2 linked regions of the Notamacropus eugenii genome follow. Each later gene encodes a partner of the first gene's protein in a complex. Links are inferred from orthologs where the notes say so. Each region holds a gene or a part of one and is shown in the gene's direction. Other genes may lie near its edges.

The links. The genes of interacting proteins can lie anywhere in the genome.
Region 2: NCKAP1 (region 1) and WASF2 share a complex: the UniProt entries of both Homo sapiens proteins name them as parts of the WAVE2 complex. The link is inferred for Notamacropus eugenii from reciprocal best matches to the Homo sapiens genes NCKAP1 and WASF2.

What each region holds. Positions count from the first base shown.
Region 1 is NC_092876.1:247,615,569-247,623,065, reverse strand, and holds the start of NCKAP1 (nck-associated protein 1), read left to right. Parts: upstream 1-4,397; 5' UTR 4,398-4,850; coding exon 4,851-4,958; intron 4,959-7,497. UniProt on the Homo sapiens protein: Part of the WAVE complex that regulates lamellipodia formation. The WAVE complex regulates actin filament reorganization via its interaction with the Arp2/3 complex. Actin remodeling activity is regulated by RAC1.
Region 2 is NC_092876.1:68,626,435-68,634,324, reverse strand, and holds the start of WASF2 (actin-binding protein WASF2), read left to right. Parts: upstream 1-4,802; 5' UTR 4,803-4,889; intron 4,890-7,890. UniProt on the Homo sapiens protein: Downstream effector molecule involved in the transmission of signals from tyrosine kinase receptors and small GTPases to the actin cytoskeleton. Promotes formation of actin filaments. Part of the WAVE complex that regulates lamellipodia formation.

The sequences.
Region 1 (7,497 bases):
ACCATCTCTGGGAGGTAGCCTACACTCCAAACCTTTCCCTCTTTACTCCTTCTTATCAAAATTGTATTTTGTTCCATTCCCTTTTGGCTGTCAGGTTAGAAAACAATATTATAAACTAATCCCCCCAATGTGTTGATTACTGATATTATGATTATTATATTATGATTGATAACTGTTCAATATGTTACCTCATCAGGAGTGTATCCATTTGTCAAGATACTATTAGGAGACACTCTAATAGTTTTCCAGAGCTAAGCTGTGTCCTGAGCTTGGCATAACAACAATCCTTTGTGCTCACCTTCTGGAACTGATGGTCCCTGAGCTGTGGCAAGCACCAACGAGCCCAGATATGAACTGACTTTTTGTCACTACACAACCTTGCCTTACTGTTGCTGGTATGCCTCACTACTGTTTCTACATTATACTGTTTGACTCTTTATCTAGCCACAAGTATATAAATCTAGATTTAACCACACTGAAGCAGGCCTCTCCATTAGGGGCAGGGCCCTGGCACAGGTGTCTAATCTGCCTTCCTGCTTGCAAGCTGTTTCCCTCACTTTGAAATTGAACTTCTTTTTGATTCCCAACTCTCCTGTCTCTAACCTGCTCTGTTTGGTTCTAACCAGAAACCAGTTTGGTTCAGCTGACACATTTTAATAAGACTTGGAGAAGTGAGGCTGATGACCTTGCATAGCCCTCCCTCAAAACAAAGTCAAGTGCAAGTCATGTCATCATTTCTCTGATAGCACAGTCTTCTTCTGCAGCGAAGAACAAACACAACCCTGGAGATGCAATGCCTTAACCAAAAAGAATGTCTGTAATGACAGAGTTGTAGGGGTAGTGACAGAAAGATTGGGGTTACATTTGGGGACAGGGCAATCTCTCCCATGCTTTTCAAATAATACCAGACAGGTCATCTCTTACATTCTCTTCCTATGGGTAAAATCATTCCTGTCAAGGAATGGGCAGAAAAGTGAACTTTCTCCTCAATTCAATTCAGTAAACATTTATTCAACACCTACCATGTGCAAAGCACTGGAGATACAAAGATAAAAAACTAAAAACAATTTTTGTCCTTAAGGAGCTTTAAGTTTACTGGGGCAATAAAAACAGAAGCTAAGATAGCAAGCTGAGAAGTTTGTCCGTTGTCCTAGAGGGAAAGAAAGGTAGCAGAAGGCAATAGAAAGCATATAGGATTTGGACGTAGGCTCTGGGCTTCAACCCTGGCTTTGTCGATTACCTATGTTATATTATATTATGTTATGTTATATCATATTATACTATATTCTATTCTATTCTATTATGGTGGGCAAATCACTTAACCTCTCCAGGCCTCGATTTCTTCATCTTTACAATTAATTACATGATTACATAACCTCTAGGTTTCTTCCAGTTCTAAAGACATGATACAACAGGGAAAAGCTGAAGTAGGTGAGTTAGAACTGTGATAGTCAAAACTGTTTTAGGTATGCAGCTATCCTTTCCACATTTTGACTTTCTCCATCAAGGTTTCGATATATTGAGGGTTGATAAAAGAAATTAAATGGGAATTTTTTGAGAGTTTTGCAGAAACTGCAGAAATCACCTGAAGGCCAGCAGACAGCACAGAAAAAGTTTAGGAACTCAGAAATGCATAAAGTATATATATAGTATTATATAATATCAACCTATTTTACTTTTTTTAGTAGTTCAATAATTTATTAATCTAAAAAAGTATATAAAAGTATATAGCTCTCATCTACAAGGTACATATATAAATGACATTTAAAATGGAGGCCTTTCATTATTGTTCCTTTTTATCAAAGTCTTTCTAGTGTATTGTACCAGTGATATACTGTAGTTTTTTTTAAAATGAACTTAACATTTTTGTATTTTTTCAAATTGTCTGCTATATATAAAAGAAGCTCACTGAAGGGAAAAAAAGGACAAAAATTCCCAGAAATGCACAGCTTTTACATTTAAAAAAGCTTCTCAAATAGACATACATGCATGTGGGACGATCCTTTCCCCACTCCTCGCCCCTCAGCTCAAACCATCCTAAGAGTTCTGATTTCTGCATGATCTCCAAAATTAGAAATAAAAAAAATAACTTCTTCACTCCGTAGCAAATCTGGGGCTCATACATTTCAGATTAATTCAGTAAAAAACTCACAAGTAAAATAATGCATATTTAAGGGAAATATACAGACTTTCACACAGCAGTACATAATAAGATTTTTAAAAATCTACTGGCATTCATTTATTTTGTACAAAAACGTATAAATATACCACTTTTTCTTACCAACTTTTCTTACCCTAAAAACTTAAAAACAACACCAGATGAAAACTCATATTTTATCTTTTAATACTATACTATTTCAGCCTTCTTCTCTGGTATGAAGGGAGGGTCAAAAAATTTTACACAGATTTTCCAGATCTTGGGGGCACCACTGTGCCCCTAACCCCTTCTATGTGGAATTAATGTATTACATATAATATATATAATATAATAATGTGTAATGTTAATATATAATACGTAATAATACATGTAACTGTATTAAGTTGGCAGCTGTGTGGAAGATGAATGGGAGAAGGGAGTGACTACAAACAGGGAGACCAATTAGAAGGCAACTGCAATAGTGGGGAAATGGAAGAGGATTTTTATAAGAGCCTTACCTAGAATGGTGGCCTGTGTGAACGAAGAGAGGTGACAGAAGGAATGGATCTGAGATCTATAGAGGTAAAATCAAGAAGACTTGGCGACCAAGTAAATATTCAAGGTGAGAGAGAGGAGTCCAGGAAGACTCAGACTGTAAATGTGCCTCACAGGAAAGCTGTCTTTGCTCTCAAAAGAAACAGGAAAATTTGAAGAAGGGATGCTATTGAGGACAAAGATGCGTTGTTTTATTCACATTGAGTTTGAAATACTGATGTCTTATTTTTCTCTCCACATTGCATCCAGAGTGAACTGTTTTGGGAAAATTTAGAAAACAATATAATGTGGAAAAGTCAAATGGTGATTCAAAAGGGGAACAGGTGGATATGCTTGCCTTAGGAAAGAAAAGAAAGAAAAACTACTTCAATAGAATTCTTTTTCTTCCACATCCAATAAAACCCTATACATATTCTTCTTGGCTTGGAGTTTTCTTTGGATTTCAGGCCATTCCCGTAAAGCCCAAGCGCCTACCAAACTTTAAGGGCATGTTTGCTATCTGAAGGTCAGCTGTGTGGATTAACTCATCCCTCAGTAAGATCTGGGTACCAGGTGATAACATTTTCTAGCCACGGCAATTCTTTCTAAAAAATCATGACTGTTGAAGGAATGAAGGATCTGTCTTCCCAGGAATTCCGATCAATCTAGAAATCTTTTTAAAGATCTTTACTGTATTTGTTAAGTGCAAAAGGCCTGGACAGGATATTGTCAGGAAGACAAACTTAACTAGAACTAAAACAGCAGAAGGACTACAAGTCCAGAAATATTAAGGCAGTAAGCAGGGCTCCGGGAGGCTGGACTGCCAGCCCCTCCCTCCTTTCTCTGCTCACTGCCCAGTCTTGGAGCAGGAGTTTAAGTTTCTTGACCTGGGGGAGCAACGAGCAGAAGAGCTGAGCTGAAACTGACCTAGCGGGGAAATTAGCGAGCCTTCTCAGACACCCCCAACCCAGCTCGCTGCTAAAAAAGGGGGCTCGAGATGGGGATGGGATCAGGGGACCAAGGGAACGTCAGCATCCTCACTCTCTCCTGCTTGGGTTCTAGATTCAAGGTCTCGACCCCATCTCTCAAGCAGATCTGGGGGTTGGCGCGGGGGGCGGTGGGGGCAGGCGCTCTTTAGACTGGGGAGGCGGGGGGGTGGGAAAGAGTTCAGTGAGAAGAAGATGCCAGCCTCTAGAGGAGGGACACCATCTGCCGCGAGCTGCAGTTAGAGGAGTGGGAGTGAAGGTGGGGGCGTGAGAGGGGTGGAGGGAAGGTGCCGGGAACGACCAACCCACTCCCTGGGAAGAGACACTGGAGGACAACGCCCCGCCTCCGAGCTTCTGCCCCGGGTGATTCACAGCGGGTGGCACGGGGAGCCGAGTTTTCTCTGCCACTCTGGGGGAGCGCGAAAGGGGGCGGGAGACGAGGGAACGAGAAATGAATTTGACCCTAGCACTGCCATAACCCCCTGGAGTCCCGCTCTTCTCCAAGGGTCCTGGAGTCGCCCTGCTAGGCAATACTGGGCAGGAATGGGGCCAAGCCTCCAAGGGAGGGCTCGAGACTCTCCCGCCCTCCGCCCCTATAGAATTGAGGAGGGTGGGAGCCGTGTTGCTGCTCTTGCAGTTCTTCCTCCAGCCGCCGAGGGGCGCTGGGGAGATGGATCAGGTGACCCGTGCGCGCCTGGGGGTGGGGGGGTGGCGAGAAGCTGCCTCGTTTTGGGCCGGCCGGGAGACGCGGGGCCGCCGCTGCTGCCGCTGCCACTGCCGCCGCCACACCTAGTGGAGGAGCCGGGGAAGACGGCTTGGAGCTGGGGGGGTGGGGTGAAAGGAGAGCCGGGGGTGGGGACGGAAGGACGGGCGGACAGGAAGGTAGGCGGGCAGGCAGCGGGAGCCGGTGAACAGCAGCCGGGGCAAGGGACCCTGAGGCGGTGGGAGCAGCGGCGAGAGCAGCAGCAGCTCCCACAGCAGCAGTAGCGGCCGCGGCGGCGGCGGCTCCCGAGCTCACCGGCCGGCGGGGCTGGGGCGGGCGGGCCATGGGAGCGCTCTGCTGAGGCGGAGGCCGAGGGCGGGCGGGGAAGGGAGGAAGCCGAGAGCGAGCGAACGGGAGGACACGGAGCGAGGGAGGGAGCGCGGAGGCCGCGGGCCGCTGTCTGGGGAGCGGGGTCGGCGGCGGCACCACCATGTCGCGCTCGGTGCTGCAGCCCAGTCAGCAGAAGCTGGCGGAGAAGCTCACCATCCTCAACGACCGCGGCATCGGCATGCTCACCCGCCTCTACAACATCAAGAAGGTACGGACCGCCGAGGCCCCGGGGCTGCTGCGGGCGGCGGCGGCGGAGGCCGGCTCAGAGCGTCGGGGGCAGCCACGGCCGCCGCCTCTGCTCGGGGAGGGCTGGGCCGGGCCGGGCCGGGCTGAGGCCCAGGAAGACTGGGAGGTGGAGGGTGGGGGCGGTACGAGGGAGGGAGGCCTGAAGGACGCTTCTAAGGGGAGAAAACCCATTCCGCTCCCCCCGCCCCAGCCTGGAGTCGGGGTTGGGCCCCGGCGCGGCCTAACTGCGGAGTCCGGGACGCTCACCTCCGCCGCGTTCCCGGCCCCGGCCCTTGAAGCCTGGCCGAGGAAGCCACCAGAAGCCATTTCCCCGCTCGCCCTGGGGAGCCGGGATCGGGCTGCGGGAAGGGGCGTCCCCTCCCCCCCCCCAAGCTGCTACTCTTTCCCAGCGCAGCGGTGGGGGCGGGGTGACCGGGACTGGGGAATGAGCTCGACAGGAAAGGGCTGGAGGGTGGGGATGCTGGGGAAGATAGGGAAACTTGCTTGTCCTGGAACTGCGGCGGCAACCTGAGCAATGGAAGGGGTGGGGGACAGAAAGACCCATGGGGAGCCCACTAAGACTCTCCAGTGTTCAGTCGTTCCTGGCATTTGAGGAGGGGGTGGGAGTGAAGAAGGATGGAAAAGGAAATGGCTCACCGGATGACCCTCACCCATCCTCGCTCTGCCAGTTTCTCCTAAGAAATAGCCTTTTGAGAGGGTGTTAACATCTTACAGAGATTGCATTTTTTTAAAGGTAGGGAGGAGGGAGAAGTGAGGGTGGAACTAATTTTCTCCTAATACTTAGGAGTTGTGACTCACTAGAACAGGAATAACAGCCTTAACCTTGCTTTTCCTGCCACCTTCCTTCCCCTCCAACTTACATTTGGAGAACCCTAGGTTTATGTGTACGTGTTTTAAAGGCCACTGTTAAAAGTTCACTGTGTCTCTGAAACTAAGTCTGCAACTATATTACCCATTATTACTACTAAATATTTTTTGATGTTTTGAATAGCTGTTTGCTACCCATTGCTTTGATGTCTTCAGAAAGTCCTTGAATGGCAAATTGGCCTGTAGTTTATTAAAAACAGTTTTAAAGCTTCAGGTAGCTTTTTGTTTTAATCCACAATATTATGCTTATACATTCCAGGGGAAACAAACCAAAATAATTCCATCTTTTTGGAAACTTAAGTCAAGTTTGCCAGTTTAGATTGCTTGAAGATTAATCTGTGTAGGGATCAGCTATTTCAGTTTCTAATATTTTAATTATATGTATAGTAGTTTTCCAGACTTTTATTAGTTTGCCTCGAGATTATTTGTTAATTTTAAATACTAAGTAAGGTTCATTTTTTCAAGAATTAGTAACGTTAAGATGAACATTTTAACCTGTTTAAATTTTAATTTAAAAAGATGTTTTTCTACAATTCGTTCCATAATGGGGTTGTTTAAAACAGTGTTTTAGTGAGAATTGCTTATTTTGGAACATCCACAAGTATTCTTCAACATGTGTATAAGAGTTGGTTGCCTTGTAAAATTTGATGGGTCAAAGGTTCTTAACTAGGGTTAGAGTTATAGGTGCATCAGTAGATTTCAGGAGGTGTGTGAATTTGAGAAAAAAATTACATCTTTCTGTTGAATTAGTTTACCTTATAATCTTGTCTTAAAACATTCTTGGAAGAGGGCCACAGACTTCTCTACACATAGCTAAAAAGATGCATGTTACAAAAAAAGTTTAACTCCTGTGAATATGAGTAACCAGCAATAAAATCTTTCTTCATGACTTTTGTTAACATTTCTCATAAGCATTTCCTTAACAAAATAGAACTTGAATTAAAAATGCCTTCTTAGAAGTAAATTTATGTAGGTTAGGGATGATGTAATGTTAATGTCCATGGTATTCACTCTCTTGAATTGAATTTTCTGTGAAATCTTACAGGTGTTCATAAGAAATTTGGGTATTAGTTTTAGAAGTCAGAAGAAATAGCAAGTCAAACATTACTAGAAGGTACTAGACATGTGGTATTGTGGTTAAAGGAAATGGTCTTGATGGTTTCTAAAAGAGGAAGTAAGAGTAGCATTAAAAGTGATTTGACTAATAGAATTTCTTGGTGTTCTATAAACATTTCTACATTATAAACTCAGACTTTGTAATGTTTTCTTTGACAAACTAAGTGTTAGTAAACTAAATTATGATGTTTTAAGTGCCTATATTACATTGCAGGTTTTATAACTCATCACTTAGCTAAGAAGTACTATTATATTTACTGTTGAATAATTATCCTTGAAATGATAAAATTCAGAATATATAAGATCTATGTATTTTGATTTATTACATTAGGAAATAGTTACAGTTTTATTTTTGTTTTTATTTTATTGTTTTCTGTACAAAATTGTTGCTTTGGATTGTGCAGTGATTGCATTTTAGTTTGCTGTTATTAATATTGTTATGTAATAGATGCTAGCATATGTGGAATTTTAGTCGTTTAGTCCATACAGTTGTTTATAATTCTATGCCAGCAAGTGGC
Region 2 (7,890 bases), about 180 Mb from region 1:
AGGCTGGGGTAAAGGCATACATCACAATCTATAAAAATCAATCACGTCACTTATCTACTCTTTTAGAAATTTCCACTGTTGACAGAAAAGTATCAACTTCTGACCTTGGCATTCAAGGCCTTACACAATCTGACTCCTGTTCTAACCTTTTCTCAGATTGTTGCCCCTTCATATATACTGAGTTCTAGCCTGACTAGAGCATTCTATGTCTCTGTTTTCACCTTACTATCATGGGTCTCTGCACACTCTCCTACTTGCCTAGAATGGACCCGCCTCTCCCCAAATCTCCATCTGTCCAAACCCTGTCTTCTATGAAGACCCAACTTGGGTGGACTCTTCCCTCCCACCCCCAATTTCCCAGAATGCTTTGCTTTAAACTTACCCTTGTCTTCAATTCAATTCAACAAATATTTATTAGCGGTGGTATAGTTGATAGAGATTTGCCTGGGAGTCAGGAAGACCTGGGTTCAGGTCTTTCCTCTGACAAACAGATCAATTTCTTCTTTGCTCCCTTCTCTCCTCTGATACTACCCCTCTAGGATAGGTTGTTGTCACCTCATTCCTGGATGGTTGGAACAGATGGGTGGGTCAGCCTGTCTCAAGTCTCTCTTTTCCAATCCATCCTCCACTCAGACCCTAAAGTGATTTTTCCTAAAACTCAGGTTGACTCATGTCACTCTCCTACTCAATAAACTTCAATTTTGACTTCAATTGTTGACTTAAATATCAAATATGAAACCCTCTGTTTGGCATTCCAAACCCTTCCTAACCTAACCCCCTCCTCCCTTCCCAGTCTTCTTACACTTTACTCCCCCAGCCACATACTCTTCGGGCCAGTGACACTGGTCCCCTTGTTATGCCTTAACCAAGACATGTCTCTCAGCTCTGGGCATTTCTCTGGTTGTCTCTGGAATGCTCTCCCCTTCCTCATCTCTGACTACTGGGTTCCCTGGCTTCCTTTAAGTCTCAACTAAAATCTACGCAGAGGTGTTAACAGAGAGGTCAGTGGACCCATGAAGCTCTTGAGAACCCGATTAAAATGTAATGGGGGTAAAGGGGAAGGAGAGAAGGAGAAAGGGAGAGAATTTGGAACTTAAAAAAAGTTTAAAATTGTTTTATCATGTAACTGGGGAAAAATAGAACTGAAAATAGAATTGGGAAATATTTAACAAAGTAACCAAAAATACAATAGAACATAGATAATGTTAATATGTGGTTTTCTAAGTCAGCCTAGGAATCTGATCTATGGTTCAGTGGTCCCTAAGTTTCTATTTGAGTTTGACACTACTGTACTACAGGAAGCCTTCTCCAAGCCCTCTTAATTCTAGTGCCTCTTTTTTTCTGAATTGCTTCCTCTTTATCCTGTATGTAGCTTTGTTTGTATTTGTTTGCATGTTGACACCCCAGTCAGATTATGAGCTCCTTGAGGGGAGTGACTATCTTTTGCCTCTTTCTGTATTCCTGGTGCAAAGTAGCTGGCACATAGTAGGTGCTTCCTAAATCTTTATTGACTGAAACTGTGACTGTCACCTTGGGGAAGTCACTCGATGCCTCAGGTGGCACAGCAGCTGCTGATTTGCATGGACAGGGGGAGTCTTTCCCTAGGAACTCCCCAAACTGATGAAATTGATTGTCAGATTAAAAAAAAAAGTTTCAGGCTCTGAGGCTCTAATGACAAAAAAACAAGTCCCTGCCTTCAAGGAGATTCCATTCTACAGAGAGAACACATCCTATCATGTGCACAGATAAATGTATACAAAGCAATTTGCTGGGCCAGAGCACTAAAGGGTGTTTAGTGTTCTCCCTTGTCATTCCTCCTTCATTTTCTAGTGACATCACAGGGTGATGTCTTGATTTTCACCTGAATTGGATTTAAGTGAGGCAGAGTTGCACAGTCCTCAGCCTCACTCTTTTCCAGGATCATCAAAGTCCAGTGGCAAGACAAAAGTCAGAACAATGGATGATGACCCAGGATGCAGTGGATTAAATCGTTTCTTCAATTGAGATGTAAGCGCTCCGCTCCGTAGCACCTGCTTCAGCTACCTTAGTGGCCCAATGGAACAAATTGTTTTCATCTTCCCATACTACTGGGTGAAATCTTCAAAGGCCTGGGGTAGATATCCCCTTAATTTACCAACTACTGGCTTGAGGCCATCAGTTAACCTCAACCTGGTTTTAGATGGTCAGCTGAGATGATTTGCTGAGATGTGGTCACTGTGCATGCTATGGCTTCTTGTATCCAGAGGTAAGAGTTGGGTGAAGATGGACACCAAAGGTGGATGAACAACCCTGAAAAGAGCTCCACAGCCTTTACATTGGATGTGCTAGATCTCCCTGAACACCTCCTACATCAAATGTTAGGGCAGCTAAGTGGTACCATGGATAGAGCACTGGGCTTGGAATCAGGAAAAGTCATCTTCCTGAGTTCCAGTGTAGCCTTAGACACTTGACTACGGAAAGTCACTGAGCCCTGTTTGCCTCAGTTTGTTCATATGTAAAATGAGCTGGAGAAAGAATGGCAAACCGCTCCAGTATCTTGGCCAAGGAACACCTTGATATGTCACAAAGAGTTGTACCTGACTGAAACGACAAGACAATGGCAACAAACCGATTATGTGCGAGACGCTGTACTAACTGATGGGAATACAAAGTCAAAAATAGAGCAGTCCTTTCCCTCAAGGAGATTAGTGTTCTTCCTTACTGAGGAGAGAAATCAGGAAAGTTTTCTTATAGGAAGCGGTATTTGGGCTGAGCCTCAAAGGGGCAGTGGTTGGTAGGCATTCTCAGTGGGCTGAGGCACCAGTTAAATCAAGTCTCGCATTTATTAAATGCTTACCATATACTACAGTGCTAGAAATAGAAATACCAACAGAAGTAGTTTGGAGTCAGGAAGACCTAAGTTCAAATCTGGCCTCAGATACCTGCTAGCTGTAGGACCCTTGGCAAGTCAGTCAAACTGTTTGCCTCAGTTTCCCCATCTGTAAAATGGGGACAATCACAACACCTACCTCCCAGGGTTGTTATGAGGATCAAATAAAATGCTTTAGCACAGTGCCTGGCACATCCTAAGGGCTATATATTAGTTGTTATTATTATCACTAGAAGGAAAGACAGTGATGGAGTAGGTAAAAGGGGAATAAAGAAATGAAAAGTCCAGAGAGTCAGGAGTGTAGCCTGAAGAGACAGACATTACGGAGATATGAAGTGGAATGTCTTACACCTGGAATTAAGTCGGTCAGTTTCAAATCCTGTCAACAGGAATTTATAAACCCACCATGTGCCAGACACTGTGCTGAGCCCTGGTGATACAAAGAAATGGGGAAAACTGCCCCTGACCTCAAGAAGTTCACCATCTGATGCCTTTCTGTGTGTCCCCAGCTCCGCACACAGTAGGTGCTTAATAAATGCTTTGACTTCATGCAAATAAAATATAAACAGGATAAATTGGAGGTAATCTCAGAAGGAGGTAACGTAGCCTTAGCGAGGGTGAAGTAATGATTAATCAGCTTGGATGAAGGGCTTTAAATGCCAAAGCAGTTTGAATCATATCCTGGATTTCTCCACGATGCTCCAGAAGATCCCTTCAGCCCTGGAGCTTGCCTTCAGCCTTGGGGACCCCTTTCTCTGACTGGACTCTGGAGGGTGAAAAGCACCTCGCTGAACCTCCACTGAAGGAGGGTGCCCAGGCTGACTGCGGGGGGAGGGGGATCCTCATTTCTCACCAGGGGTGCGCTACTCTGAACTTCTCCATCTCAACTTCTTCTCCCTTCCCTCCCCACCCCATTCCTTCCCGCGAGTGTGTGCGTGTTCTCCTTTCTTTCCGTCTGTCTTTGCGTCTCCAGGGTTTATACCATCATGCCCCGCACACTGACAGCGTCTAATACATGCTTGCAGACTCCCTGACCACTGAAGTTTCCCGAGCACCGGTACAGCACCATCTATTAGATTTTAAAGTCTTGAAGGGCGGGTAGTTTTGTCTACGAGCCCTTTCCACCCCCCAGCCCAGAACAAGAGAAAGCTTAGCACAAGTTCATCGGATCGAGCGGAGCGGACACGGGGGGTCCCCAGCCGTGGTGGCGAAGGGCAGGGGGTCCACCTGGGTCACAAGTTCTCCGAGGAAGGAATTCTGAAAAGCGCGGGGGCCCAGGGGCGTGCCTTAGACAGCTCACTTCTCCGCCACGTGGGGACCCCTCCTCCGCAGAGCCCGTCCCCGCCCTGGGTGTGCTCGAGCCAGACCCCGGGACGAGGCCGTGACTCAACTTTCCAGTTCCCACCTAGCCCGAGTCAGAAGCCGGGAGGAGGGACTGGGCAAAACCAACTGAAACCTGGAGGGTACACAGAAGGAAGTTCGGGGGCCCAGCTCATTCCTTCGCTTCCTGCGCACGTTTTCCTAGAACCGTTGCCAATAAACCACCGCCTAAAATGTTTTCAAAGAGCATCTGCCCTTCAGAAGCAGCGTTTCCGTACTTTCATTTAGGAAGTTGACTTGCTCGTACCCCGCCTTGAACTTCACTTGGTCTCCTCCGTCCTGTTTACTCCATTTGCGGAAGTCTTTCGGGTGGAGCTCCCGGGGCAGTGCCTGCGGAGTACGTCGTTTGCGTATCAGTTTGACAGGCGCTCCGTGAAGACCAATGAAAGAGCTGGAAGCTCCGAGCGGGCGGGGCTGTAAACCAATCAGATCTGGTGCCGGGGTGGGGCTATGTCTCCGGGAGGGGAGCGCGTAATGGCGGACGCCGATCTGGCGAGTGCGGCCGGGGGCGTAGCGAGCTGAGGGAGGGACCGCAGGCCAGAGTGGCTGCAGCCGCCGGGGGGCTAGACCACCCTGCGGACCGCGGCTGCGGGCAGAGGGGGCGTCAGGGCCTGCCGCGGTTGGCTCTTTCGGAGGCCAGGTGAGCAGCAAGTTCTCCTGGCCCGGGAGAGGGCGGCTTCTGGCGGGACCGGGCCTGGCCGGGCCGGGGCCGGCGTCCGAGGGTCCGACGGGTCTGAGCGGGCATGCACTGGGCAGGGGTGGGGGGCAAGAGCAGGGCCAGCTCCACGGGGAGCCAGCAGGAGTCCCGGGCTGTCCTGTAAGGGAGTGAGCGGGGGTCCCAGGCTGTCCCGTAGGGGAGTGAGCGGGGGTCCCAGGCTGTCCCGTAGGGGAGTGAGCGGGGGTCCCAGGCTGTCCCGTAAGGGAGTGAGCAGGAGTCCCAGGCTGTCCCGTAGGGGAGTGAGCAGGGATCCCAGGTTGTCCATAAGGGAGTGAGCAGGGGTCCCAGGCTGTCCCGTAGGGGAGTGAGCGGGGGTCCCAGGCTGTCCTGTAAGGGAATGAGCAGAGGTCCCAGGCTGTCCATAAGGGAGTAAGCAGGGGTCCCAGGCTGTCCTGTAAGGGAGTGAGCGGGGGTCCCAGGCTGTCCCGTAGGGGAGTGAGCGGGGGTCCCAGGCTGTTCTGTAAGGGAGTGAGCAGGGGTCCCAGGCTGTCCCATAGGAGAGTGAGCAGGGGTCCCAGGCTGTCCCGGAGGGAAGTGAGCAGGGGTCCCAGGCTGTCCTGTAAGGGAGTGAGCAGGAGTCCCAGGCTGTCCCGAAGGGGAGTAAGCAGGGATCCCAGGTTGTCCATAAGGGAGTGAGCAGGAGTCCCAGGCTGTCCCGTAAGGGAGTAAGCAGGAGTCCCAGGCTGTCCCGTAGGGGAGTAAGCAGGGGTCCCAGGCTGTCCTGTAAGGGAATGAGCAGAGGTCCCAGGCTGTCCATAAGGGAGTGAGCAGGAGTCCCAGGCTGTCCCGAAGGGGAGTAAGCAGGGATCCCAGGTTGTCCATAAGGGAGTGAGCAGGAGTCCCAGGCTGTCCCGTAGGGGAGTAAGCAGGGGTCCCAGGCTGTCCTGTAAGGGAATGAGCAGAGGTCCCAGGCTGTCCATAAGGGAGTGAGCAGGGGTCCCAGGCTGTCCTGTAAGGGAGTGAGCGGGGGGTCCCAGGCTGTCCCGTAGGGGAGTGAGCGGGGGTCCCAGGCTGTTCTGTAAGGGAGTGAGCAGGGGTCCCAGGCTGTCCCGTAGGAGAGTGAGCAGGGGTCCCAGGCTGTCCCGGAGGGGAGTGAGCAGGGGTCCCAGGCTGTCCTGTAAGGGAGTGAGCAGGTGTCCCAGGCTGTCCCGTAGGGGAGTAAGCAGGAGTCCCAGGCTGTCCCGTAGGGGAGTAAGCAGGGGTCCCAGGCTGTCCTGTAAGGGAATGAGCAGAGGTCCCAGGCTGTCCATAAGGGAGTGAGCAGGTGTCCCAGGCTGTCCCATAGGGGAGTAAGCAGGGGTCCCAGGCTGTCCTGTAAGGGAATGAGCAGAGGTCCCAGGCTGTCCATAAGGGAGTGAGCAGGTGTCCCAGGCTGTCCCGTAGGGGAGTAAGCAGGGGTCCCAGGCTGTCCTGTAAGGGAATGAGCAGAGGTCCCAGGCTGTCCATAAGGGAGTGAGCAGGAGTCCCAGGCTGTCCCGAAGGGGAGTAAGCAGGGATCCCAGGTTGTCCATAAGGGAGTGAGCAGGAGTCCCAGGCTGTCCCGTAAGGGAGTAAGCAGGAGTCCCAGGCTGTCCCGTAGGGGAGTAAGCAGGGGTCCCAGGCTGTCCTGTAAGGGAATGAGCAGAGGTCCCAGGCTGTCCATAAGGGAGTGAGCAGGTGTCCCAGGCTGTCCTGTAAGGGAGTGAGCAGGGGTCCCAGGGCTGTCCCATAAGGGAAAGAGCAGGATGAGGAAGTAAGCAGGGGTCCCAGGGCTGCTCCATGAGAGCCATGAAGAAATGAGCAAGGGATTCATGGCCTCCCCACCCCAAATGGGGAAGTGAACAAGGAGTCCCTGCTTGCCCCATGGTGGAGTTAGCCTCCTTTTGGAGTTGTGCTGGTGGGTACCAGGGCTGCCCCGTAGGAGAGTGAGCAGGGTAGAACAGATCTTCCCTATGGAAAGGTACAGGTGGGTACCAGATCTGTCCCTTAGGGAATTAAAGAGGTGCCCCCCCCCCGACATACACCTGGACCTCCTTAAATGTAAATGGAGTGCCCAGGCTGCCCCAAAGACAGACGTGGGTTTTAGAAGGTACTAGGTCTTCTCCACAGTCAGACAAAGGCCTGACCCATAGCTATGTGGGGCTGGATGTCAGGGCCATCCCATAGGGAATGAGAAGGAATGTACTAAGGCTGTTACATAGGAAAGGGTAAAGGAAGAGTTCCTATCATGGCTGCCTCAAAGACTGATCTAGACTGGGTCTGTCCCATAAAGAGGCAGGAGTTCCTAAGGCCACCCCATTGGGAAACGAGGCCTTATCAGGGCTGCCCCCCAGACTACCTGAGCCAGTCCCTAGACATGTGGGTGTGGGAATGCTCTAGCCACCCATAGGGAAGTGAGGAAGCCACAGGGATCATGCAGAGACATGGGGGAGGGCGGAACTAGGCCTGTCCCATAGTCAGGTGGATGGGGACAGTACCAAGGCCTGCCCACAGGTGAGAATGGGACTGGTAGAATATACCAGAGATTACCCATAGGGGAAGGGAGGTGAGGTTATGGCACTGTGATGACCATCTCATAGGGAGGTGGACCTGGGCAATATAAGGGGCAGTCCATAAAAGATGTAGGTGGGGGAATAAGAAGGCTATACCCTAGGGAAATGAAAATGGGGTGAGGGCTACAAGGGCTGCCCCAAATAGAGATATAAAATGGTGAGGGAGACAGCACCAGTGCTAGCCAAAGAGAAGTGTATGTGGGGAATCCAGGCCTACCCCAATTACATGTGTGTGTGTGTTTGTGTTCGTGTTTGTGTTCCAAGGCTGCCCCTAGGCACAGGAAAATGGAAGAATAGGGGCTACCACGGAAGGGCCCATGGTAGGTGTGCATCTGGGAGTGTCCAAGGCTTTTCCATAAGGAGGTGAGAGTGGGGTGGGGATGGGACTACAA